Linked DNA regions of Macaca fascicularis. The protein of the gene in region 2 purifies or fractionates together with the protein of the main gene of each other region. This does not show direct contact. Links are inferred from orthologs where the notes say so. Each region holds a gene or a part of one and is shown on either strand. Other genes may lie near its edges.

The links.
Region 1: the proteins of SYMPK (region 2) and CPEB1 purify together in Homo sapiens (affinity purification with mass spectrometry; 3 studies listed by BioGRID and IntAct, counting the BioPlex papers as one, with this or other methods). This does not show direct contact. The link is inferred for Macaca fascicularis from reciprocal best matches to the Homo sapiens genes SYMPK and CPEB1.
Region 3: the proteins of SYMPK (region 2) and CPSF2 purify together in Homo sapiens (co-immunoprecipitation; 8 studies listed by BioGRID and IntAct, with this or other methods). This does not show direct contact. The link is inferred for Macaca fascicularis from reciprocal best matches to the Homo sapiens genes SYMPK and CPSF2.
Region 4: the proteins of SYMPK (region 2) and CPSF4 purify together in Homo sapiens (affinity purification with mass spectrometry; 4 studies listed by BioGRID and IntAct, counting the BioPlex papers as one, with this or other methods). This does not show direct contact. The link is inferred for Macaca fascicularis from reciprocal best matches to the Homo sapiens genes SYMPK and CPSF4.

The regions. Positions count from the first base shown.
Region 1 is NC_088381.1:68,600,636-68,606,394, forward strand, and holds part of CPEB1 (cytoplasmic polyadenylation element-binding protein 1), read left to right. Parts: intron 1-745; coding exon 746-998; intron 999-2,849; coding exon 2,850-2,963; intron 2,964-3,287; coding exon 3,288-3,392; intron 3,393-4,228; coding exon 4,229-4,365; intron 4,366-5,348; exon of another isoform or gene 5,349-5,759.
Region 2 is NC_088393.1:53,905,627-53,911,385, reverse strand, and holds part of SYMPK (symplekin), read left to right. Parts: coding exon 1-110; intron 111-1,162; coding exon 1,163-1,244; intron 1,245-1,442; coding exon 1,443-1,556; intron 1,557-2,503; coding exon 2,504-2,651; intron 2,652-3,549; coding exon 3,550-3,710; intron 3,711-5,011; coding exon 5,012-5,120; intron 5,121-5,428; coding exon 5,429-5,529; intron 5,530-5,759. UniProt on the Homo sapiens protein: Scaffold protein that functions as a component of a multimolecular complex involved in histone mRNA 3'-end processing. Specific component of the tight junction (TJ) plaque, but might not be an exclusively junctional component. May have a house-keeping rule.
Region 3 is NC_088381.1:160,139,228-160,144,986, reverse strand, and holds part of CPSF2 (cleavage and polyadenylation specificity factor subunit 2), read right to left. Parts: intron 4,681-5,759; coding exon 4,493-4,680; intron 3,840-4,492; coding exon 3,549-3,839; intron 1-3,548. UniProt on the Homo sapiens protein: Component of the cleavage and polyadenylation specificity factor (CPSF) complex that play a key role in pre-mRNA 3'-end formation, recognizing the AAUAAA signal sequence and interacting with poly(A) polymerase and other factors to bring about cleavage and poly(A) addition.
Region 4 is NC_088377.1:48,024,329-48,030,781, forward strand, and holds the start of CPSF4 (cleavage and polyadenylation specificity factor subunit 4), read left to right. Parts: upstream 1-2,618; 5' UTR 2,619-2,758; coding exon 2,759-2,861; exon of another isoform or gene 2,862-3,272; intron 3,273-6,453. UniProt on the Homo sapiens protein: Component of the cleavage and polyadenylation specificity factor (CPSF) complex that play a key role in pre-mRNA 3'-end formation, recognizing the AAUAAA signal sequence and interacting with poly(A) polymerase and other factors to bring about cleavage and poly(A) addition.

The DNA.
Region 1 (5,759 bases), on a different chromosome or scaffold from region 2:
AGTTGGTGTTCTCGCTGCCCATTGGTTTTATCTGTTAAGGCTGCTTTTCTAAAAGGACAATCACATGCGGGTCTCTTTGCTTCTCCGGGCTGCAGTTACCTCTTCTGTAAAATGGGGTCAGATACAGTGCTGATAGTTCTATGTTACTTAGATTGGACTCAGTCTTGAAAATTTATCTCATGACTGATTAATATTTGGGGATTTTAAAATATTCTGTCAATGAGTTATTCTGATAATGTGGTATCATTTCACACATGTAAATTAGAATTTAAAGGTTTGACACAGCTTATAGTGTTCTGATACATTTATGATACAATGCAGAGCTGTTATAGATAGCATTTTTGGCATTCGACTTTCTAGGAATCTGACCAAAGAAAACAAAAAATATGAAGAAGCTACATCTTAATTTTTGTTTATGGTTCTGAAAACTTGGAAAGTATATATGTAGCAGGAAGAGTATGGGTCAGTGAGATGTACCTTGTTCCCTAAATAGAATATGATAAATGCATTTTAAATGGCTATAAAGACTGGCAATATGGAAAAATTGCTGAATGAGGAGAGAAGGAGAATTTGTTTAAATTATAGTATAACTAGAACTAATCAAAACTGCTCAGGAAGAAAGTCTAAAAGAATATATATCAAATGCTAAATGTCTGTTGGATGTTTTTAATAATTTCTATAATGTGATTATTACTTTATAACAAAACTGTCCTTTAAAACCCTGTCTTCCTTTTTCCTCCCCTAGTCAAGCCTTCGCATTTCCCCACCTCTGCCCTTCCTGTCTCTGACAGGGGGTGGTCCCAGGGACCCTTTAAAGATGGGGGTAGGGTCTCGGATGGACCAAGAGCAAGCTGCTCTTGCTGCAGTCACTCCCTCCCCAACCAGTGCTTCAAAGAGATGGCCAGGAGCTTCTGTGTGGCCATCCTGGGACCTCCTCGAAGCTCCCAAAGACCCCTTCAGCATAGAGAGAGAGGCCAGGCTGCACCGACAAGCTGCAGGTGAGTGTGCCTTGAGCGTGTGTGGGGCCTGAGGCCTCATTCTGGGAGCACAGAGGAAGTGACCTTAGTTCACACGCTTGTGAACTGTCTAGAGGAGGCTTGGTTGCATGGTGAAGTCTCCAAATCTGCAAAGAATTATCTTTCTGTGGAGTAAGTGCTAATGGGAACAAACTCAGGAACTTCTTGAGGCTGAGTGGAGAGGAAAGAGGCAGATAATCTGGCACATGCATGTGCCACAGCACAAGGGGCTGGCTCTGTCTCTCACTTGTGCCCTTCCATGGAGACTGGCTGTGTGCTGCTCTTGCTTTTACTTCTTCCACGGGTGGATGTCCTCAAGAGAAACTCTGGAAGGAATGTCCAGAATTTTGTCTACCCTCTCCACATTCTAATTCAAAGACAGTCAGACACAACTCATGCTGGACCTTTCATCCCCGAGGCTTTCTGATTGGTACACTCATGGATGCACTGGGGAAGGAGGGGTCCATTTGTCAACCTCTAAGGTAAGGAATGTCACCAGGACAGGAATCCTTAAGGTTCTGACATTTAAATTATCTTAGGCTGGCCTTGGTGGCTCAGCACTTAAGCAGAGGCAGCAGGATGGCTTGAGCCCAGGAGTTGCCCAACCTGGGAAACATAGCGAGACCCCATCTCTATATATTTTAAAAGGTTTAAAAAATAAATTATCTTAAGTATGTATTAAGTTTGTTTTTCATCTTTGTCTAGTACCGCTCCAGGGAGAAGTTCATTAACCACTGGCTCTTCTGAGGTCCTGAATTTGATGACTAAGTTAGTGTTAGTTTCTCCATTCCATTTATTTCCGTGTATCTGTTTGCTCACAGAGTTGGGCTGGATCTCATTCTTCTCTGATAGTGCTGTGCCCTGTTCACCTAATGATTTTGGCAGCCCATCTTAGTACTTTTTCTGGTGCCATTGTTTTCATATGAAATGACATTACCATGCTTTTGAATGAGACCATTATATTCTGTTTTTGTCGTAAAAGATTGCTGACATTGCCCAGTTTCTTGCTGTAGCAACACCTTGGGCCTATTCCTTTTAGGAAGTGTCCTTCCACATCTTTGTCCTGAATGAAAATGATAGTTCCTTTCATTGGCTGTCTGCCTCTTTGCTGAAAGAGGAGGGTGAAATAAATGGGCAAGAACTAACTAGTCCTCACTAAGGTCAGTCTCTGATTTGGAAAGGTACAAACAGTGGGGACAGGATTGAAGACTGATTATCTTACCATGTTGACATCAAGGAAGGCCCATTGTCCATTTGGGTGCTATAAAGATGAGTCTGGCTTGGAACAGTTGTGACATTCTTGTCTTACTGGGTTGCTAGTGCTGGTTTTTATTGGCAGTGTCCTAACTTCTGTGATTAATGAGTTCAGAACCAAGACAGGGAAACAGAATAGAATGTTTCTCATTTGAACATTGGGGAGAAGGCCCATTTGTACCAGTAAGCCTGTAAGATGTTCTATTGCTCTGTTTATTTTCAAGTAATTATGAATTAGTAGTACTGTAAGCAATAAGATAAAACTGCTTTGTGGTTAGCATATTAGTTGAATGTTTGAAAATAACATGGGGTGTAAATTTTTACCCTACACATCTGGCTTGGCATTCCTTTCCATTTTAGTGGGGACAGAATTAGCAAAGTAGGATTATCATACTTGACTGAGTGGATTGGTGAGACATAGGTTTCTTGCTTTTCGGAATAATCATGGATATTCTCTCAGGCATCTGGGCAGGGATTGTGGCCAGTCAGGTTCTTACTGGACAAGCTCACCCCAGGGAAGAGTGGTGGCTTTGCTGATTTTCTAACCTCCCCTGTTTATCTCTTTGCCATCTACCAAAGCTGTGAATGAAGCCACCTGTACCTGGAGTGGCCAGCTTCCTCCCCGGAACTATAAGAACCCCATCTACTCTTGCAAGGTGTTTCTAGGAGGTGTTCCTTGGGATATTACAGAAGGTGAGCTGTCTCTAAGACCTCCTGCTTTAAGAGTAGAAGGGTGGGGCATGTCTTTCAGGAGCATGAAACTTGGAATTGAGGCCAGGGGCTGAATTCCCTGCCTGAGTTCAGGGGTATTACATGAGTGTCTGAGGGGAGAGGTGCATTTCATATACCCCCATAGTGCTCCTATGTCGGGAGCTTACACCGGAGATCAGCATCCATTTCTGAGTTGTCAGTCAGTGGGGATGAGCCAGGGAGGAGAATGCTGGTGATTCTGTGTTTGCGTCTTTACTGGGAAAGATGGTTCCTCAGCTTCTGCCATTGTTTTCTGTCTCTTTGCAGCTGGATTAGTTAACACCTTCCGTGTTTTTGGCTCTTTGAGTGTGGAGTGGCCTGGTAAGGATGGCAAGCACCCCCGGTGTCCTCCCAAAGGTAATATGCCTAAAGGTAATAAAGACATGGTAGGAGCTTTTTTTTCCCTTCCCTAGAACATAACTGCACCTATGGGTGCTGGGATGTCACAGCTGCATGTTGGTAACATGGTGGGCACTCCAGGGCACAGACCTGTCATCTGTCAGCACTTTCTCTTCAACCTAACACGTCCCTCTATTTCTTCGGAGCTAATGTTGCATCTGTCCAGACTTACACAGCAGTGGGAGCTGCCTCTGAAACCCCTTCCTTGTACACTTCTGTCTAAACCTGAACCCAAGCAGCACCTTTCCTCTCAAAATAAGGCGTTTGAAAAGCTTTCCCTTGCCTGCCTGTCCTGCCCAGTTACGTTGTTGCCTGACCTAATTCTGAAGTCCCTTTGGAGTTGGCAGGAATGAGGACCAAGCATCTGATTCCTCACTGGTCTGAAATGAGATCCCCTCCCTGTAGAAAGGAGCAGCTGCTATTTTCACCCTGCTCCATCTTCATTGAACTGAACTAATGGTTTAAGTAGGCGTTTAAAGCAATAACTGCCATCCTTCCTGCCCCCAGGAAAGCCTGGCTCTGCTGACCTGAACATGCTGTGTGTTCTGGCATAGAGAGCTGTGGTAATGGTGGGATCTCTCTGTCTCAGCTTGCCAGTCCTTTCCTTCACCAGGGTGGGAGGGAGGCCAACAACCCTGGGCATCTGCATAGCAAATGCTTCCACTCAACAAGACTTTTCAGGAGTAAAACAAAAATGTATCTTATACACAAGGCCTTCTTTCTTGGAAGAAACTCCCTGCTGCAAAGCCAAGGCTGAGGAGTGGCCACCTAAGGGATATTAATGTGATTTTTCCTCTCATTGGGAATAGGGTATGTGTATCTGGTCTTCGAACTGGAGAAGTCTGTCCGAGCCTTGCTTCAGGCTTGCTCTCATGACCCGCTGAGCCCAGATGGCCTGAGTGAATATTATTTCAAGATGTCCAGCCGAAGGATGCGCTGCAAGGAGGTGAGTTAGCATGATGTCCTTTCTAGATCAAGGTTCTTGGCATATTGAGGCACTGGATTTTCTTGGGGTAGGTGGATAGGTAGGCTGCAGGCAAGGAGTATTCCTGCTGAGGCAAGAAGGCTCTTCTTCTCCCACAATAAAATAGCAGTATCCTCTCAATTATATAAAAAAGAAAAGAAAGCAACCTTTGGGCCTTAATGGGGTATGTGCATGCACACATGCGTGTGCCTGCCCATGGTAATCAAACTGTCTCCCAGCCTTTACTCTACTCTTCTTTCTTGAAGCCAACACTTTAGTTTTAAACCTCTTGTCTTAGAATTGAAATTGAGAACAGCAGACTTCTCTACTTGTACTTAACTGATAAACCTACAGCTGTTTTTCCCTGGTCCTGCCCTTCCTGTGCCTTCTTACCTCCCAGTCTGTGAGGGTGAATTCCTCTTTAGCCCACATCCACCTGTGGGTCACTTCTTCATTCTCATTCGGGGCTTTATTTAGTTTTGTGGGTTTTCCCCATAAGATTCTCTCTTCCTACGTCTTTTCTAATATCAGCCTTATGTATCCTTGGCAGCATGGGTCTCTAACGAGTTTATTTCACCTGGGGATCTCATTGCTCATTCTTGGGCCTTATCCCAGACTTACTGAATCACTCTGGGTGGAATTTAGGAATCTCCAACTGAACAAAGATCCCCAAGTGGATCTAGTGGATAGTGTTTGAGAATCACTTGTCAAAGCAAGTTTTGAGCTCCGGAATCAGTGTGGTGTTAAAATCAGATTCAAGAGCACACAACTTTTGTGACATAGGACTAGACATTTAATATCTCTGAAACTTTGTTTCCTCTTCTCTTCTATAAAATGGGAAACGAAAATGCCTATTTTAGTAAAAAGATCAGTGATTGCCAGGGGTTTAGCATGAAGGGATGAATCAGTGAAACTATTCTGTATATGGTGGATATATGTCATTATACTTTGGTTCAAACCCATAGAATGTAAAACAAACACCAAGAGTGAACCCTGATGTAAACCATGGACTTTGAGTGGTGATGATGTGTCAGTATAAACAAATGTTCCACTCGCATGCGGGATCCTGATAGTGGAGAAGTCACACAAGTGTGGGGGCAGAGAGTATTTGGGAAATCCCCGTACTTTCTGTGAACCTTAAAGCTTCTCTAAAAACAATCTATAAGGTAAGAGGGGAAATGCCTATTTTATTGGGATGGTCACATTAGATTTAAAATAAATCCATGTAACAAAGCTGGCTCTTGTTCTGCGTTATTGAGAGGGCAGGCTCGTCCTCTGGCTACCCACAGTGACCCACAGCTTCTGTACCTTATCTGCTTCCTTACTGTGTGGAGCTTGTGTAGTCATCTCACCTTAGTAAATGTTCTAGGACTTAC
Region 2 (5,759 bases):
GAGTACAACGCCTATCTGGCCGCGGGTGCCTCAGGCTCCCTGGACAAGTATGAGGACTGCCTTATCCGCCTGCTGTCCGGCCTGCAGGAGAAACCAGACCAGAAGGATGGGTGAGGGGGCTGACCCTGCACCCTCCTGTCCCCACGAGGCCCCCTCTTCTGGTGCTGCTCTCCCTTTCTGATTCTGACCACCTCCCTCTTCATCACCCCCCGAGTCAGTCCTTCTCGAGTCCATCCCAAGTCTTCTCTCCTCCTTCCCCCTCTGGAGGCACGTTCAAGGTTGTAGTTTTGCATGTGAGCTGCAGGTCGCACTCCCTGAGCTGTTCCCCAGCTCTGCCACTTGCTCTGAGCATGGTTTGAGTGGCTTTGTCACTCCCCCTGTGTGTCATTTTCCCATCTGTAAATAACAGTACTCACCCATGGGCCTGGAGATAGACTTCTCTACACCCCATTTCCTACCTGAGTTGGTTCTGTAGCTTCCTCCCTGTCCGTGGCCTCCAGCTTACTCATCTGTCCTCCACACAGCAGCTCCGGGAACACTTTGTTATATAAATCCTTTTATTACTTCCCCACGAGGAACCTTCCATGGTTCTCCATTGCTCTTAGGGTAAAGCACAGCCTCCTTACTGTGACCAGTGAGGCGTTATGTTATTCACTCTCTTTGGCTTTACTCCCTGAACATTAGCCACATTGGCCTTCTGTCTGTTCCTCGAGTGTGCCAAGTTCAGGGCACTAGTGCTTCCTGTTCTGTCTGCCTGGAATGCCCTTCCCTCAACTGTGTGTGTGGTTGGCTCCTTCTCATCTACCAGTATACTCAAATGTAACTTCGAAGCAGCCTTTTGAGGCCACCATATCTAAAATACCCACACCCTTCTCCACCCGCCGTCATTCCCTCCCATTTTTATGTTCAATGAATAAAGTTAGGAATCCCTGTTTGACAAAAGGAAGAAATGAGTTTCAGAGAGGTGCAGCCTCTGCCTAGATCATCCAGCCGGCAGCTTTTGAACCCTGGTCTTTTCACTTCCAAAGCTTTATAACCAGGGGCTTGAACAAGCAACCCCTGAGGGAGGGCCTGCTGGCCCTGAGCTCCTACAATTCAGTAGGGCCTGGGAGCCAGGCGGCCTTTTCCTCTGCAGCCATGGCCCTCCCTCCATCTCTGGCAGGATCTTCACCAAGGTTGTGCTGGAGGCGCCCCTCATCACAGAGAGTGCCCTGGAGGTGATCCGCAAGTACTGCGAGGATGAGGTGAGGACAGGCCCTGGTCACTGCAGCCTGGGCCAAGGGACAGGGCTCTCCCCTGAGGATTCTGAAGGGCACACAGCCTAAACCTTGTGGCAAGGGGTTTCATGAGGGACCGGGCTGTTTTGTCAGAGGCAGTCAGGAGAGAGAGCCCAAAGGCACAGTCAGGTGGGCTGAGCTCAGGTCCCTTTCCTCTTGCTGCAGAGTCGCACCTACCTGGGCATGTCCACGCTTCGAGACCTGATCTTCAAGCGCCCGTCCCGCCAGTTCCAGTACCTGCATGTCCTTCTCGACCTCAGCTCCCATGAGAAGGACAAGGTGATCCCCTGCTCCACTTCCTGGCTGCCCTCAGCCTGCAGTTTGCAGAGGCCACCTGTATCCTGAGGAACCAACTCGTTCTTAGTCCGCCTGTGGTGGCCAGCACAGGCTCCTCGTGCAGCCCAGTCCTGTGCTGGGGCCTGAGGGCATTGCCCAGCAGGGGAGCCAGTGTGGCCTCAGCCAGCAGTGAGGACCCAGCATGCTCAGCAGCTGAGCAGAGCAGTGTGCAGCTGCGGAGCCCTGGGGAGGGAGGGGCCGACCATCTGGTGGTGGGGTGGGCAGGGGAGGTGTTTCAAGGAAAGCTTCCTTCAAGAAGGGGAGATGTGGGCCGAGACCTGGAAAATGAATAGCTGGGTGTGCTCTAGACGAGGGGACAAATGTGCATATGCTGTGGTTGAGAGCGCCCTTGACCCATCCTTGCCTGCAGCCTTTTGCCCCAGCCCCTGCCTGGCAGCATGTTTATTCATTCAGCAGACCTTCATTGCACACCCCTGGCCCTGGCCCTGGCCCTGTGCTGCTGCTGGGATCAGAGTGCCCAGGACCAGCCCCTACCCTCACAGGTCCCGGCAGATAATATCTGAGTGAAACAGTGTTTAGCTGGCAGTAGGCGTTCTAGGGAGACTTGGCAGGGAGTGGCACTTTTAAGGAACTGAGATCTCCCTCTGCTTGGAGCTTGGTGAGCAAGGCAAGGAGCAGTGACGGGCAGATGGGCTGGAAAGACGGGCAGATGGGCTGGAGAGGCAGGCAGCGAGGTGGTGCTGTGGGTCCGGCCCTGGCCGGGATATCTGCCTCCTGCGCTGGGGACCAGCTCTGGGCCCTGGTAGCAGCTGGGCTGCCCCTTCTCAGGCTCGGGTCTGTTTTCACATGAGTGTTGCCACACTCGCAGGAATAGCTGTTCTTCCTCTTCCCTCTTCCCTGACCCTGCCCTTCTCCATCTTCCTCCTCAGGTGCGCTCCCAGGCCCTGCTGTTCATCAAACGCATGTATGAGAAGGAGCAGCTGCGGGAGTATGTGGAGAAATTTGCCCTCAACTACCTGCAGCTCCTGGTGCACCCCAACCCACCGTCTGTGCTGTTTGGAGCTGACAAAGACACAGGTTGGGCGCAGGTCATCAGATGCATATTGAGTGCTGCTGTGTCCGCGCTCTGGTCGCTGCGAGCAGAGGGGCTGAGTGGGGAAGCCACCCAGACACCAGTGACGGGAACGGGCAGGGCTGGGACAGCCACCTGGGGGCTGTGGGAGTCAGGGTAGGGGCATCTGACCTAGCCTAGGGGGTCAGGGAGAGAGATCTGGCGGACGAGGAGAGCCAGCCATCGGTGGGGCCCCAGGAAGGACCAGGCAGGGTCATCTCAGGCAGGTTCCCTCAACAGAGCCTTGGGTCCCCCAGGATTACAGACAGGTAGACTCAGACCCCGAGTAAATGGACCCTTAAATGGGAAGTCTTGGGGCCATGATAGGGCAGCACGGGAGGCCTGGCCCAGGTGCCAGGAAGCATTCCCAGGAGACGCACAGCCTTCGGGAGGCCCAGAGTCTGAGCAGGTGCTGTGGACCAGGCAGAAAGGAGGGCGGATGCAAAGGCAAAGAGACCAGGGCCTTCGGGACTGTTAGAAGGGGTGTGTGACCACCATGGAGGGCAGCAGGGCAGCAGCAGGCCGGGGCCACCCCATGCAACACCTGGCAGCCACTGGGAGGCAGCGAGCCGGGGGTTTATTCTGAGGCTACAGGGCGTGGCTGGGCTTGGAGGTGGAGAGGGACAGGGTCAGGATTGCACTCAAAGATCCTTCTAATTGCCTTGTGTGTTGGCAGTCGGGGAAGGCTGGAGGTAGGAAGTCCTGGTCCCACCCCATTTCCCTGCCCTAGAACAATTAGCTCCCCAGCCCCGGCTCCCTTCTCTGCCCTCCCTGGCTCCACTGCCCAAGAAGGGACAGTTACTGAGGGTCCGAGGGGGTTGGAGAAGAGTGTGGGCCAATCCGACGCCGCTCCTGCCCTGTCAGAGGTGGCAGCGCCCTGGACGGAGGAGACAGTGAAGCAGTGTCTCTACCTCTACCTGGCTCTCCTGCCTCAGAACCACAAGCTGATCCACGAGCTGGCGGCCGTGTACACTGAAGCCATCGCCGACATCAAGCGGACGGTGCTGAGGGTCATCGAGCAGCCGGTGAGGCCCCTGAGCCCACCAGGCCCTGCCCACCCACAGGCAGGGCTATGTCCCCAGCTCCAGCTCTTCCCCAACCTGCTCTACCTCAGAGTGTGCCAAGCCCAAAGGGTGGTCACCCCGGGTTGACCCAGGCTGTGTAGCTTGCGGGCGGTCCGCATGTCACTCATCAGTTCCTGAGGAAACGTCAGAGTGGCTCAGCAGTTAGGAGCCTAGAGCTGGATAGAGCTGGGTTCGTGTTCACTTGTCACTTTCTCACTGCGACCTCGGGCCTGTCAGTAAAACTAGGGAAGACATTCCAGTCCCTCCACGCTGATGCAAGGAGTCCATGAACTCAGGCACATAAACCTCTGTGTCACTGTCACTGTTTATGAGCTGACCTTCCCGGTGTTGCTAATGGGACTCTTTAGCTGTCATTACATAAGTCCTTCCCACCTCTCTCTCTCGAGCCACAGGGCTGCCCACAGGAGAAGCAGCTCAGTGACAGACTGTCACCTGAGATGAGAAGGTCTGCACTTCAGTTTGCAGCAGGGTTTGAAACCACTTTTTTTCTTTCTGCCCCTGACATTTTTGGATTACCGAACATTTTCATGATAAATGGGAGAGAGAACTGTATGTTAATCCCCACCTATCTGCCATTTGGGTTCAGTGGGGCCCTTACCTGGAAAATGGGGATAACAGGCTTGTAGTCAGGAGGAAACATTTTTAGCCCCATTCCCAAGGTGAGCCAACTGTGGAAAAGTGATCTCACTTTGCGGAAAAGTGATCCTGTGGTCTGTGAGCTTCCCGAGGGCAGAGACATTCGGTTTTAGTCAGGAGCGTAAACGTTCCTGGGTGAAGGTGGAGCCTGGCCCCAGCTCCTGTGTTTGGCGTTCACCATGGGGCAGGCTCAGGAAGCAGCAGCAGGTGGAGCCTGGTCTGGGCTCACAGCCAAGCCAGCCGCGCATGAGAAACCAAGTCACGAAGCGGGTGGGTGTGGGTGGAGCCAGAAACATCTTTACCAGTGAGTGAAGCACAGGGTAGGCATTCGAGGTCAGGTCGGGTCTGAGCCACACAGGAGTGGCCTGCTGGAGGACAGCCCAGCCAGGGCTGGGAGCTGGAGCAGGCCACATCCGGAGAGGCTGCAGGGAGAGGCCGAGGTTTCTCTGACCTCTCCCACCCTTCCCTACCTTTCCCCCACCCTCCAAACCCTGTCACCAGTCTCACCCTGAGCCCCAGCATTTCCCGCAGCCACCCTGCCGGCAGCACCTGAGCCTTCCCTAAGCTCTCACCCTGGGTGTGGTCATCCCTGTCTCTGCCTCTAGATCCGAGGAATGGGCATGAACTCCCCGGAGCTGCTCCTGCTGGTGGAAAACTGTCCCAAGGGGGCAGAGACACTGGTCACACGATGTCTGCACAGCCTCACAGACAAAGGTGACCCTGGAGACCCCCACCTTTCATGCTTTCCTCCCTTTCCTTAGCCTTCCCCGGGTCCTGGGAATCCGAGCCACTGGGTCCCCAGATGGTCGTACCTCTTGTGGGTCTTTGCCTGTCCTAGGGCCTCAGTTTCTCCATCTGGAACAGTGTGGTGCTAATTGCACGTGAGCAGCCAAGGGTGAAAAGTTCTGCTGTGAAGTTGCCATACATTCCCTCACACCCGCCTGCTTCTCTTTCCTGGGTGCCCACCCTCCCCCACACTCCCTTCTGCCTCCAACTCGGTGCCTCCTGCTGCTTCCATGCAGTCCCACCCTCCCCGGAGCTGGTGAAGCGGGTCCGGGATCTCTACCACAAGCGACTGCCAGACGTCCGCTTCCTCATCCCGGTGCTCAATGGGCTGGAGAAGGTATGGAGCCGGAGGCCCGTCTGTCCCTGCTACCTGGGACATGTGGGACCGGGAGGGGCAGGGCAGCACGTTGCAGAAGCGGTTGAGCGAGAGGCACATAGCAGAGGGCAGAAGACACCTTGTCTGTGGTCAGAAGTCGTGGAAGCCGCTGGCACCTGTGTACCCTGGAAATGCAGAGCAGCTCCTGGACTCATTTGCATGGGCACCCGGGTGCCCGTGGCTCTGCTGCT
Region 3 (5,759 bases), on a different chromosome or scaffold from region 2:
CAAAGATCCTGATGCACTGTAGGGCATAGAGAAAGTGGAATAAGCTAAGGTCAAAAGGTAAGTGGGGATTAGATCATGTGGGATCTAAGAAGCCTGCGTAAGTAGTATATGGATGTTATTGAAAGAGAAGAAGGAAGGCTTTGGAGCCATTTAAGCAAGTGAATGACATGAAATGATGAATGTTTAAAAGATCTCTCTGGGAGTTGTTATCCAATCGGTACAGAGTTTCAGTTTTGCTACATGAAAAAGTTTTAGAGATCTGTCATACAACAATGTACATATAGTTAACGCTACTGTACTGTACACATAAAAATGGTTAAGACAGTGAACTGTATGTGTTTTTTATTGCTTTTTGAGATGGAGTCTCGCTTTGTCACCCACGCTGGAGTGCAGTGGTGCAATCTTGGCTCACTGCAACCTCCACCTCTCAGGTTCAAGCAATTCCCCTGCCTCAGCCTCCCGAGTAGCTGGGATTACAGGCGCCTGCCACCATGCCTGGCTAATTTTTTGTATTTTTAGTAGAGACGGGGTTTCACTCTGTTGGCCAGGCTGGTCTTGAACTCCTGACCTCGTGATCTGCCCGCCTCTGCCTCCCAAACTGCTGGGATTACAGGCGTGAGCCACCACACCCAGTCCCCTATTTCTTTTTTTACATTTCTATTTTTTACCTTAGTTGGCTCTGCCCAACACGCTATAGAAATATTCTATTTCTCGATCAGGGTACAGACTAGACAGGTGCATTCAATTTGTAAAAATTCATCATGCTATACACTTAACGTAGGTTTCAGTATATATTATACTTCAGTGAACATTTTTTAAACTTCCAGATTTTTGGTTTGAATATGTGGGAAGTGCTGCATTCTCTGAGATAAGACAGAAGAATAGTACTGGGAGTAGGGGAAGAATAAAAATTGTTTTGGATGTGATCAAGTAGAGGGGAAACTGCTAGATAACGAAGATAGGAGGGATAACTGCAAAGGAACTATCACTAAGAAGGTGAGCAAGAAAAGGTCCCTGAGCATGAGCATTAGTTATTAAAAAGATCAAAAACTTAACATTTGATGTTTTGGCTGTTTTTCATTTCTTTAGCATGCTTCTGAACATCACTGTCTATTTTTTTTCCCAAACTTAAACCATTTTTCTTTTACTAATTCCTCAAATGATTTATTAGACCCAATTTAATTTCTAGTAATTAAAATTTTCAAATTCAGTATTTCCTATCTGATGAAATTGTTTCAAGTATTTCTTAGTTCTTTTAACCTTATATTTCCAAGCTCCTAAATAACCTCAAAGACACCATTTTACTTTGCTATGCTTGCTCAGAATCCTGGCTCAACAATTCTATAATTATAGTACATATATCTCAGATTTTAGTAACTGATGTTATGCTTTTCTTAAGTAGAGTTGGAAGACAGATATCCCTACCACATAGCTTTTAACAAACTAAACTTTCCTTAAAATGACTGCTAAGGGCCAGGTGCGGTGGTTCATGTATAATTCCAGCACTTTGCAAGGTGGAGTGGGTTAGGGGGAGGTTTAGGGACAGCCTGAGCCTAGGAGTTCGAGGTTACAGTGAGCTGTGATGGTGCCACTGCACTCCAGGCTGGGTGACAGAGAGAGAGTCTATCTCTAATTAAATAATTACATGAGTGCTACAAAGACAAAATAAGAAGCAGCTTTATGATACTGCTTTATGTTACAGCTTTATGTTAAGGTTTAGTCGCCTAAACTTTTGCAACTCTGGCAGTTATTAACCATCCCACTATATCAAATGCTACAAACTTTAATGATATACTAGTTTTGAAAAATCGATAGAACTGATGCACTGGTTATTAAGCAAACGATCTTTGGGTATACTAGTCATTGAGCTAATTGTCTTGTTCCTGTAACAGGAGATAAGGCAGCAAATGCAGATGCAGAATCAAGTTAGTATATTTAGTGGTGGAAAGATAAAGGAATTCCTGACTCACTGCTTCGATTTCTATGTTAAGTTTGAGACAAGATCATGTGCTATGAATGAAGGCTGAGAGTGAGCTGTAGGATGTTTGAGGAGAAAGAAGATATAAAATTGCCTTACAGTGAGAACGGGAACATCCTACTGAATGCTGAGTACTGGTGTAGGGTCCCCTTCTGAGATGTGAAGTTATGCATGTGAAAACAAATCTGTCTACACTGTAGTGTTTAACTTCAGAAACATAAAGCTGCTTAAGTACAGGCACGCACCAAGCAAATAGTTTAACTAAGGTCAAAGCCTTTCCAGGGACTAAAACAGAAGTGTAAGAGAGTTAAAGATATTTGCAAAATTTTGATTAATTGTGAACCACTGAGTTTAAGGCTGGAAGGATGATAGACAGTATAAAGGTGAGGTTCATGAACTGAAAGTCCCAATGGAACTGAAGAGTTGTTGTCATGAGAATAACAGGGAAAGTCAGCTGTAAATTCAGAATGAGATGCTTGGAGACTGTTCGGCCAAAAGAAGGTTACAGGCATGACCACAGGAACAGATAGCATGACAGCAGGAATGGATGTCTGAGGTAAGATGAAGGAAAAGATTAAGAAATAAGGTGTCAAGTAACTGAGAAGAATTGGACAGATCATATACATGGAAGCTAAAGTCAGTGAGAATAAAGTCCTGAATACAAGTGGACAGGAAGACTGTGAATCAGGGTCAAATGGTGAATGACCAAGAGATCATTAAATGTCAGAAACAAGGAGGGGTCAGCATATCAGCAGGTCTGAAGGCAAAAACTGCAAATGGAAGATAAATAGCTAGGAAGCTGCAATACAGAACAAGGAAGACATGTACTCCATTCAAAGTACATGCAACACTGAAAGAAAGAGTAATTACTTCTGGGGGCTACAGGATAAAGAACGTCTTTAGGAAAGAGTCTGATTTAAATTAAGCAAGAGACAGGAAAGGAACCTTTCAGAGACTGAGAAAACACTGTATAGGCTTACCCTCTGGGTAAACTAGAGGGTACCAAGGAAAAGTTTAAGAATGAGAACTTCTTTTGAGACCACCCACAGCAATACAATGAGACGTCTCTACAAAAAATAAAAATAAAATAATAGCCAGGCCTGGTGGCACATGTCTATGGTTCCAGCTACTTGGGAGGCTGAGGGAGGAGGATCCTTTAAGCCCAGGAGTTTGAGGCTGCACGGAACTATGACAGCACCACTGCACTCTAGACTGGGTAACAAAGCAAGACCCCATCTCAAAAAAAAAAGAGAACCTCCAGTTAAGGAACTCTGAAATTTGTGCTATTAAAGGCTCTCTTCTACAGTAATTTTTTTTTTAAGAGATGGGGGGTAGGTCTTGGCATGTTGCCCAGGCTGACCTCAGATTCCTGGGCTCAAGTGATCCTTCCACCTCAGCCTCCCGAGTAGCTGGTACTACAGCACACACCACCACTCCTGGCTCTCAAGAGTAATTCTGATCAAAATCCTAAAACAACTTCAAGTTTTATTTTTGGTCACTATTTTTTATACATCACGCACAATGTATCCCCCAAACAGTCTTAAGATAAAGTTCACATACAAGTGCTTACCTCTATTTCTGTAATTTTTTCAGAAGGATTATCAATTAGGAAACGTGCTAAAGTCCCAGGAGTAGTTCTGTAAGTTAGAATGATTGAGTTCTTAGGATCCTGACACCACTGGATAAAGAGATCCCTTGAAAATCCACATTCCAGGTCAGGTTGGCTGGCAAGTACAACTTTAGGGCTAGGTACTCGGGCCAAGTCAGAAAGACCATGACATAAAGAGAGATGGCGAAACTGAAATGGATTATTTCTTTTGTCTTCAAAACATCTCATCAATTTATCACTCATCCATTCCACCTAATGTGGGGGGAAAGATGACAAGAATTAGAAATCCTATAACTTCAATATATTCTCTAATAGTCAAGGAATCCAAGTTCTATCTTTTACCCCCACTGGTTGCTTAAATTTGTAATGTTTTGACAAGCAGCTTATTTTCTGCTTCCATTTCCCATTAGATTATCCCACCCTAGTTTTCATCCCAAAAAAACCCAATTTTGCATTATATTTCACGTATAAATCACCTTAAATCTTTTTGAAAAGGCAAGGTATATGTTCTAAATGAAAATCTTACTCCCAGAGATTGCTATTTCAAGGCAAAAAGCTTATTTAAAAGAAAGAACAATGAATTCTAACATGTATATGCTATGAGGTAGGTTCTATTTTTGTCCCCATTTTACAGACTGGGATACTAAAGAGTTAGAAGAGAAGCAATTTGCCTAATCTTTAAAACAGGGATAAAAGGGAAACTACTTAGTAGAATAAATACAGATTAAATGAAATAATACATTTAAAGCACACAGAACAGTAAATGGTTAATGGCAAGTTATCATCATTACTAACAATCTCTTCAAGGGAAAAATAAAATCCAAAAAACAATGAAGACACCCACTTCCACAGACCCAATCACTGTAGCAAACTTCTTTATTACAAGTGACAACATGAGAACAAACCTGGGATTTAGAAAACTCTACCACATTGTAACTGACATTATTTAGGAGTGCCAATGAGTAAACACCCAGTCCTGCATCTTTAGTCCTCCAAATCTGATCAAGAAGTTGAGCAAGTTCCAAAACTCTGCCTGCTGTGTCCACTGCTATTAACACATTTCCATCACCTCGAAGTGTTTCCAGGACATTTGCTAGAAAACAAGAATGTAAAATCCCTATAGAACATAACAATACTATGCTACAAAATTACAGATAATTTTCTCTCTGTGTTTTTATTAGAAAGACTGTAATTTACAAATAAGCAACTACTAGGCCAGGTAAAAAATGAAGGAATTTTGTTCAGGTCATTACAACTGCTTTTGATTCTGTTGACTATCTCTTCAGAAATTCAGTGTCATTAACTCTCCATCTTTTTTCATTGAAAAATTATAAATCAGTAGTCCTCAACACTCTATACATTATAATACACATGGAAAATGGTGTGTGTATCACTGAGAAAATTGTTTGGCTAGGCCAAATGTAACCAGCCTGGTGTTTCTGGGCTACCCCAGTCTCGCCTATCCACCCCAATGAACTTTGTCCCAAACTTATGTACATACATATATATACACTCGCACAATTATATATACAGCCATCCCTCAGTATCCATGGGTACTGGCTCCAGGACCCCCACGAATACCAAAACCATCAGATGCCCCAAGTCCCTCATACAAAATGGTGGCCAGGCGCAATGGCTCACACCTGTAATCCCAGCACTTTGGTAGGTCAAGGCAGGAGGATGGCTTGAGTCCAGGAGTTCAAGACCAGCCTGGACAACATAGGGAGATCACATCTCTATAAAAATAAAAAAATTAGCCAGGCATGGTGGCACACGCCTGTGGTCTTAGCTATGTGGGAAGCTAGAGGGAGGTGCTTGAGCCCAGGAGTTTGAGGCTGCAGAGAGTCGTGAATGTGCCACTACACTCCAGCATGTACAATAAAGACTTTGTCTCAAAAAAAAATATATCTGCATACAACCTACATACATCCTCCTATATACTTTAAATCATCTCTATTGCTTATAATACCTAATACAATGTAAATGTTATGTAAATGGTTGTTACACTGTATTTTTTTACTTATATTTTTTTAAATTATTGCATTATCTTCTTTTATTGTTTTTTCAAATATTTTCAATCCACAGTTAGTTGAATCCTCAGATGTGGAACAGCAGCTACAAAGGGCCAACTATGTATGACACATAGTTCGTATGCGTGTATGCCTATAGAAT
Region 4 (6,453 bases), on a different chromosome or scaffold from region 2:
AGATTAAAAACTAGGCCCAGCAGGCCAGGAGCGGTGGCTCACGCCTGTAATCCAGGAACTTTGGGAGGCAAAGGTGGGTGGATCACCTGAGGTCAGGAGTTCGAGACCAGCCTGACATGGTGAACCCCATCTCTACTAAAAATACAAAAATTAGCTGGGCATGACAGCATGTCCCTGTAATCCCAGCTACTCGGGAGGCTGAGGCAGGAGAATCACTTGAACGTGGGAGGCAGAGGTTGCAGTGAGCCAAGATAGCGCCATTGCACTCCAGCCTGAGCAACACAGCAAGACTCTGTCTCAAAAAAACCAACGACGACAACAAACAAAAAACTAGGCCCAGCAAGGGGAGAGACTTGCTGGGGTCCTGCAGCAGTGCAGTGGGTGAGACTGGCCAGTTTGGCCTGGGCTGGCTTAGAACTCAGGTCCATGTAACGTATGGACAGACTCTCCTGACTAGCACCTTTGTGAAACTAGTGCAGGGGGCCTTTATCATTCTGCATCTGGCAAGCCCTGCCACTCCTTCTTACAAGCATGGTGTTTATGTAATTTTCTTTTTATGGGAATGGCGTCTTCATGTTGCCCAGGCTGGAGTGCGATGGCACAGTGGCAAACGCACAATCACTGCAACCTCCAACTTCTGGGCTCAAGTGATCCTCCTACCTCAGCCTCCCAATTAACTAGCACTACTGGTGCACACCACCATACCCAGCTAATTTTTTGTAGAGATGTAGTCTCCCTATGTTGCCAGGCTGGTCTAGTACTCCTGGCCTCAAGCAATCCTCCAGCCTTGGTCTCCCAAAGTGTTGGGATTGCAGGCGTAAGCCTCCATGCCCTGCCTTATGTGCATTAATTACAATACACAGAATTACAAAACAAAAAGCAATGATATTGAAATGGCATCAAAATGCTTTAAAAACAAATTTCTGCTACACTAGCATAGATGCTTATTTTCAATGCATTAAATAACAAGACCCGGCCGGGCGCGGTGGCTCACGCCTGTAATCCCAGCACTTTGGGAGGCCGAGGCGGGCGGATCACAAGGTCAGGAGATCGAGACCACGGTGAAACCCCGTCTCTACTAAAAATTACAAAAAATTAGCCGGGCGCGGTTGTGGGCGCCTGTAGTCCCAGCTACTCGGGAGGCTGAGGCAGGAGAATGGCGTGAACCCGGGAGGCGGAGCTTGCAGTGAGCCGAGATCGCGCCACTGCACTCCAGCCTGGGCTGGGCGACAGAGCGAGACTCCGTCTCAAAAAAAAAAAATAAAAAAAATAAATAAATAAATAAATAACAAGACCCTACAATAATTTCAAAGCAGTAACGAATGTAAGTGACAGCTTAAGATACCACCTTGTAGGTGCTGCACAAACTGTTTTTTTTTTTTGAGTCTCACTCTGTCGCCAGGCTGGAGTGGGGTGGTGCCATCTCGGCTCAATGCAACCTCTGCCTCCCGGGTTCAAGCGATGCTCATGCCTCAGCCTCCCAAGTAGCTGGGATTACAGGCACGCACCACCACTCCCGACTAATTTTTATATTTTTAGTAGAGACGGGGTTTTGCCATGCTGTCCAGCCTGGTCTTGAACTCCTGACCTCAAGTGATCCTCCTGCCTCGGCCTCCTAAAGTGCTGGAGTGACGGGTGTGAGCCATCACTGCACAAACTCTTATCTGGAACTATCATTTACACTCACCCCAACTTGAAATTATGACACAGTTTCAGGCACTGCTAAGGCTGCTCCAGCAATTGGGAAAGGAAATGCTAAATTTCACAGAGAAAATAGGGGTGTCATTTTGTTCCTATACAATTTCATTACCCCACCCTGGTTAGAAAACCCTGAATTAGACCATACAGTGGCTCATGCCTGTAATCCCAGCACTTTGGGAGGCCCAGGCGAGTCGATCGCTTGGGGCTTGGGGCTAGGAGTTCAAGACCAGCCTGGGCAACATAGCAAGGCCCCCATCTCCACAAAAATTAAAAATAAAAATTTAAAAATTAGCCAAGCGTGGTGGTGCAGCTACTCAAGAGGCTGAGGTGGGAGGATCGCTTGAGCCTGAGAAGTTGAAGCCGCAGTGAGCTATGATCATACCGCTGTACTCCAGCCTGGGCCACCTAGCGAGAAAAGAAAAAACCCTGAATTAGAGACACGCTGCGGCCGTCCTTCTTCGGAGAGACCCGCCCCTCCTCAGACGCCTACCCGGACCCTCAGGCCAACGCCGACCCCTCTCCACACAGACTTTTGCAGCCTCAGTTTCCCTCCTCGGACGCCCCTGGCTCCAATCCTGGTTCGGGCACTTCCTTCCCCTCTGGCGTGTCTCTGCCCGGATCCCGGGGTTCCTGCGAGGATCACACAAGAACTCACTTGAAGTGTCCGGCGCAGTGCACTCCGACGGGGCTCTCTACCCGGTCCCCGCGACGGACCCGGCTCTCCCACGGGTCACCCTCTCCCCTGACGCGCAAGCGCAGCCCGCGTAGCCGACACACGCGGCTGGTTTCAGGTTTCCGGCGAGACTAGGCCGGCGTTCGGCTGGCGGCTAGCCGGGACTAGCGGAGCGGCGGGACTCCGCGCTCGATTGGCAGTGCCTGGACAGGCGCAAGAACCGGCGCGGGCTCTGGGCGCTCCCGGCATCCCTCGGGCGGCGGCGGCGGCGGCGGCTGCGAGGCGCAGGAGGAGCGTGTGCGGCGGGCCCGGCGGCGGGTAGAGAGGCGAGAGGGCTGCAGGAGACCGAGGGGGAGCCGGGCCGGTGGGGCCGCCGCCGCCGCCATGCAGGAAATAATCGCCAGCGTGGACCACATCAAGTTTGACTTGGAGATCGCAGTGGAGCAGCAGCTCGGGGCGCAGCCGCTGCCCTTCCCCGGCATGGACAGTGAGCGCGGGGCCCTGGCGGGAGGGCGAGAGCGACTCGAACCCCTGACCCGCTCCTCTGTGTTCCCGGGACTCCTTCGCCTCGGTCCTGAGACCTCCCCCGGCTTCCTCTGGATCCTGGGACCCCTCCCCTTCGGTCGCGGGACTCCTCCCTCTATGTCTTGAGAGTCCCTCCCACCTCCTCCGGGTCCTGGGACCCTCCCCTTTAGTTCCCGAACTCCCTCATCTGTGATCCGGGACTCTTCTCACTCCATCCTGAGACCTCCTCTTCTGGATCCCGGGACGCTCCCCCTTGGTTCCAGGACTCCTGACTCCCAGGTCCCCATTTCCACCGTCTGGGGACCCCTTTTCCCCTCACTCGAACTCAGGAGTTCACTGCCTCGGATCTTTGGCCCCCTGCGGCTGTTTAAAGGTAATCTGTAGGCGGGTAGGACCTTGTCCGTTCGCTTAATTCTTGAATAAGGGTGGGTTATCCTGGATTGGAACTCTCCCTCAACACTCTCCCAGCTACAGGAGAGTACTAGGATATCGCACCCCCTACCTCCCAACCCCGCTACATTGAGCGTCTCTTCTTTTTGCTTTCATCAAAACTAGGCTGTTGGAGGAGGCGTGCTGAGGGAAGGACCACCTCTCTGTAGGAGACCCCAGCTAGACTCTTAAACTTCCTTCTAGGACTCTCTCTCCTGGGAGCTCATCCTTAGTTTTTGGCCTGTCCCTACTTTTTTCTGGACCCCAACTCTGAGTTGTTCATCACACCCAGCAGCTGGTGTGGTCCCTTAGCCTGAACTCCCTTCACTCCTCCCTTTCACATGGTGGCTCCTGGCTCCCCATATCTTGTACTTTAAAAGAAACCGGTAGTTTTCTTTGTGTCTTCTTTCCTATCCGGACACACTTGAAATCTAATGCTATAGCCTTAAAGTCCGCGGGCTTGTGGAAGTCACTGAGTTCAATCCACAGATGGGGAAACTGAGACCCAAGCAGGGGAAGGGACTTGCTGACGACCACTCAGTGCATAGCAGAGCCAGGCAAGTTCTCCAGTGTTGTGTGCTGTCGCCCCGCACTACCAGCGGGGTCTCCCACGTCTCCCAGCAGCCTCTCTCCCCTCAGGCGGCCACACCTTCTCATGCACATGTGACCTCTGAGTCTGTCCCTTTCTGTGGTTTTTTTGTTGTTGTTTGTTTGCTTTTGAGACAGGGGCTCCTCTTTTGCCCAGGCTGGGTGCAGTGGCGCAATCATGGCTCAATGCAGCCTCGACTTCCCAGGTTCTGACAATCCTCCCACCTCAGTTTCCCAAGTAGTTGGGACCACAGGTGTGCACCAACACGCCTGGCAAATTTTGTGTGTGTGTGTTTCTTGGTAGAGACACTGTTTCACCATGTTTCCCAGGGTTGGTCTTGAACTCCTGGGCTCAAGCGATCCTTTCACCTCGGCCTTCAGAAGTACTGGGATTACAGGCATGAGCCACCACACCTGGCCTATATTGGCCTATATATATATATATATATATATATATGTGTGTGTGTGTGTGTGTATATATATAAATTTTTTTTGCTGCCTGTCCCACAACTTTACATGGTGATACTTCTGTACAAGATAGTTTCGTTGGAAGTTAAGTCATCAAGAAAAACAAGATAGTGCTTATAAAGAGACATCATCAGACCACCCTATTTGACACACGCACAAACACCATCGCCACTGTACACCCCCTAAAAAGCAGCTGCTGAAATTCACACACACACACCCCCTCTTACCTACCCCTCGAGTCCTGTGATAACTTCATCCCTGCACATGTGGCCTTTTCCTGTCTCTTTTTTTTTGAGATGGAGTTTCGCTGTTGTTGCCCAGGCTGGAGTGCAATGGCGTGATCTCAGCTTACCGCAACCTCCACCTCCCGGGTTCAAGCAATTCTCCTGCCTCGGCCTCCTGAGTAGCTGGGATTATAGCCTCCCGCCACCATGCCCAACTAATTTTTGTATTTTCAGTAGAGATGAGGTTTCACCATGTTGGCCAGGCTGGTCTTGAACTCCTGACCTCAAATGATCCGCCTGCCTTGGCCTCCCAAAGTGCTGGGATTACGGGCGTGAGCCACTGCGCCCAGTCGGCCTTTTCCTGTCTTGATGGCACTGGCTTGAGACCATGGAACCACCCATGCAGGGCAGATCTTTCCCTTCCATCCTTCTGCCACCTGACAGATCCACAAGCCTGTGAGGGGAGGTACAGTGGTGAGGGGCCCACATACCTGTTCTTGAGACCAGGGACACGCCTGGCCCTGGGTGCTGCCCCAGCCAGGGCTTCAGAGTTGGTAGGCACCCTCCACACTCACTGCTTGTCCATATCCTGTTCAGTTAAAGCCTAGTGAGGCCACAGCCCTTCCTCACCCATCCCTCCTCTTCATGCCCATCTGAGGTTTGGGAATAACTGTCACTTTGCCCATAAGGCATACTCATCCCATCCACATGAGGCTCAGTTCCCAGAACTGTGGATTTCTGAGCAGAAACAACTCTAACCTCTGAAGAGAAAGACCAGACCAGAGATACTTTCAGAATTTTTTTTTTTTTTTTTTTTTTTTTGAGACAGAGTCTTGCTCTTGTTGCCCAGGCTGGAGCACAGTGATGTAATCTTGGCTCACTGCAACCTCTGCCTCTGGGTTCAAGCGATTCTCCTGCCTCAGCCTCCCGAGTAGCTGGGATTACAGGCATGTGCCACCACGCCTGGCTAATTTTTGCATTTTTAGTAGAGACGGGGTTTCTCTACATGAACTCCTGACGGCAAGTGATCCACCCGGCAAGTGATCCACCCGCCGCAAGTGATCCACCCGCCTCGGCCTCCGGAAGTGCTAGGATTACAGACGTGAGTCACCACACCTGGCCACTTTCAGACTTTTTGAAATGCAAATAGAGTGACCTCCCTGTGACAGCCAAGGAATCTTTTGTGATTTAGTAAGGGGGGGCACGTTAAGTGGACTTCAGAGATGCTGTCATTGGTTTTTCAGCAATTCTAAAATGGTTACTTGTAAGGAAACTGTTTCTGATGCCAAGGTCAGTTTAGTCTGGAAACCGGGTGCTGGTGAATTCCTGGACTCATCAGAACAGCTAGTCCCTGGAGCCCACTGAATTCCAGCACACTCTTAACTGTGGGAATGAAAGGCTGTGCTTTTTTTTTTCTTTTTTCTTTTTGTTAACAAGCAACATAATCAAAAACAAAAGCACAACAACCTTAAAGCTGAAACAGCAATAAGTCAAACTGCTGCGGCAGTTCACAGATGTACCTGGGGTACATGCTTCCTCATTTCGAGGCAGGGACATAGGCACATGACTGTGCATTTAGGTATATATGTGACCAAAAAGAATGAGAGAAATGAATCCCAGCACTTTGGGAGGCCGAGGCGGGCGGATCACAAGGTCAGGAGATCGAGACCACGGTGAAACCCCGTCTCTACTAAAAATACAAAATATTAGCCGGGCGTGGTGGCAGGCGCCTGTAGTCCCAGCTACTCAGGAGGCTGAGGCAGGAGAATAGCATGAACCTGGGAGGCGGAGCTTGCAGTGAGCCAAGATCGCACCACTGCACTCCAGCCTGGGTAACAGAGTGAG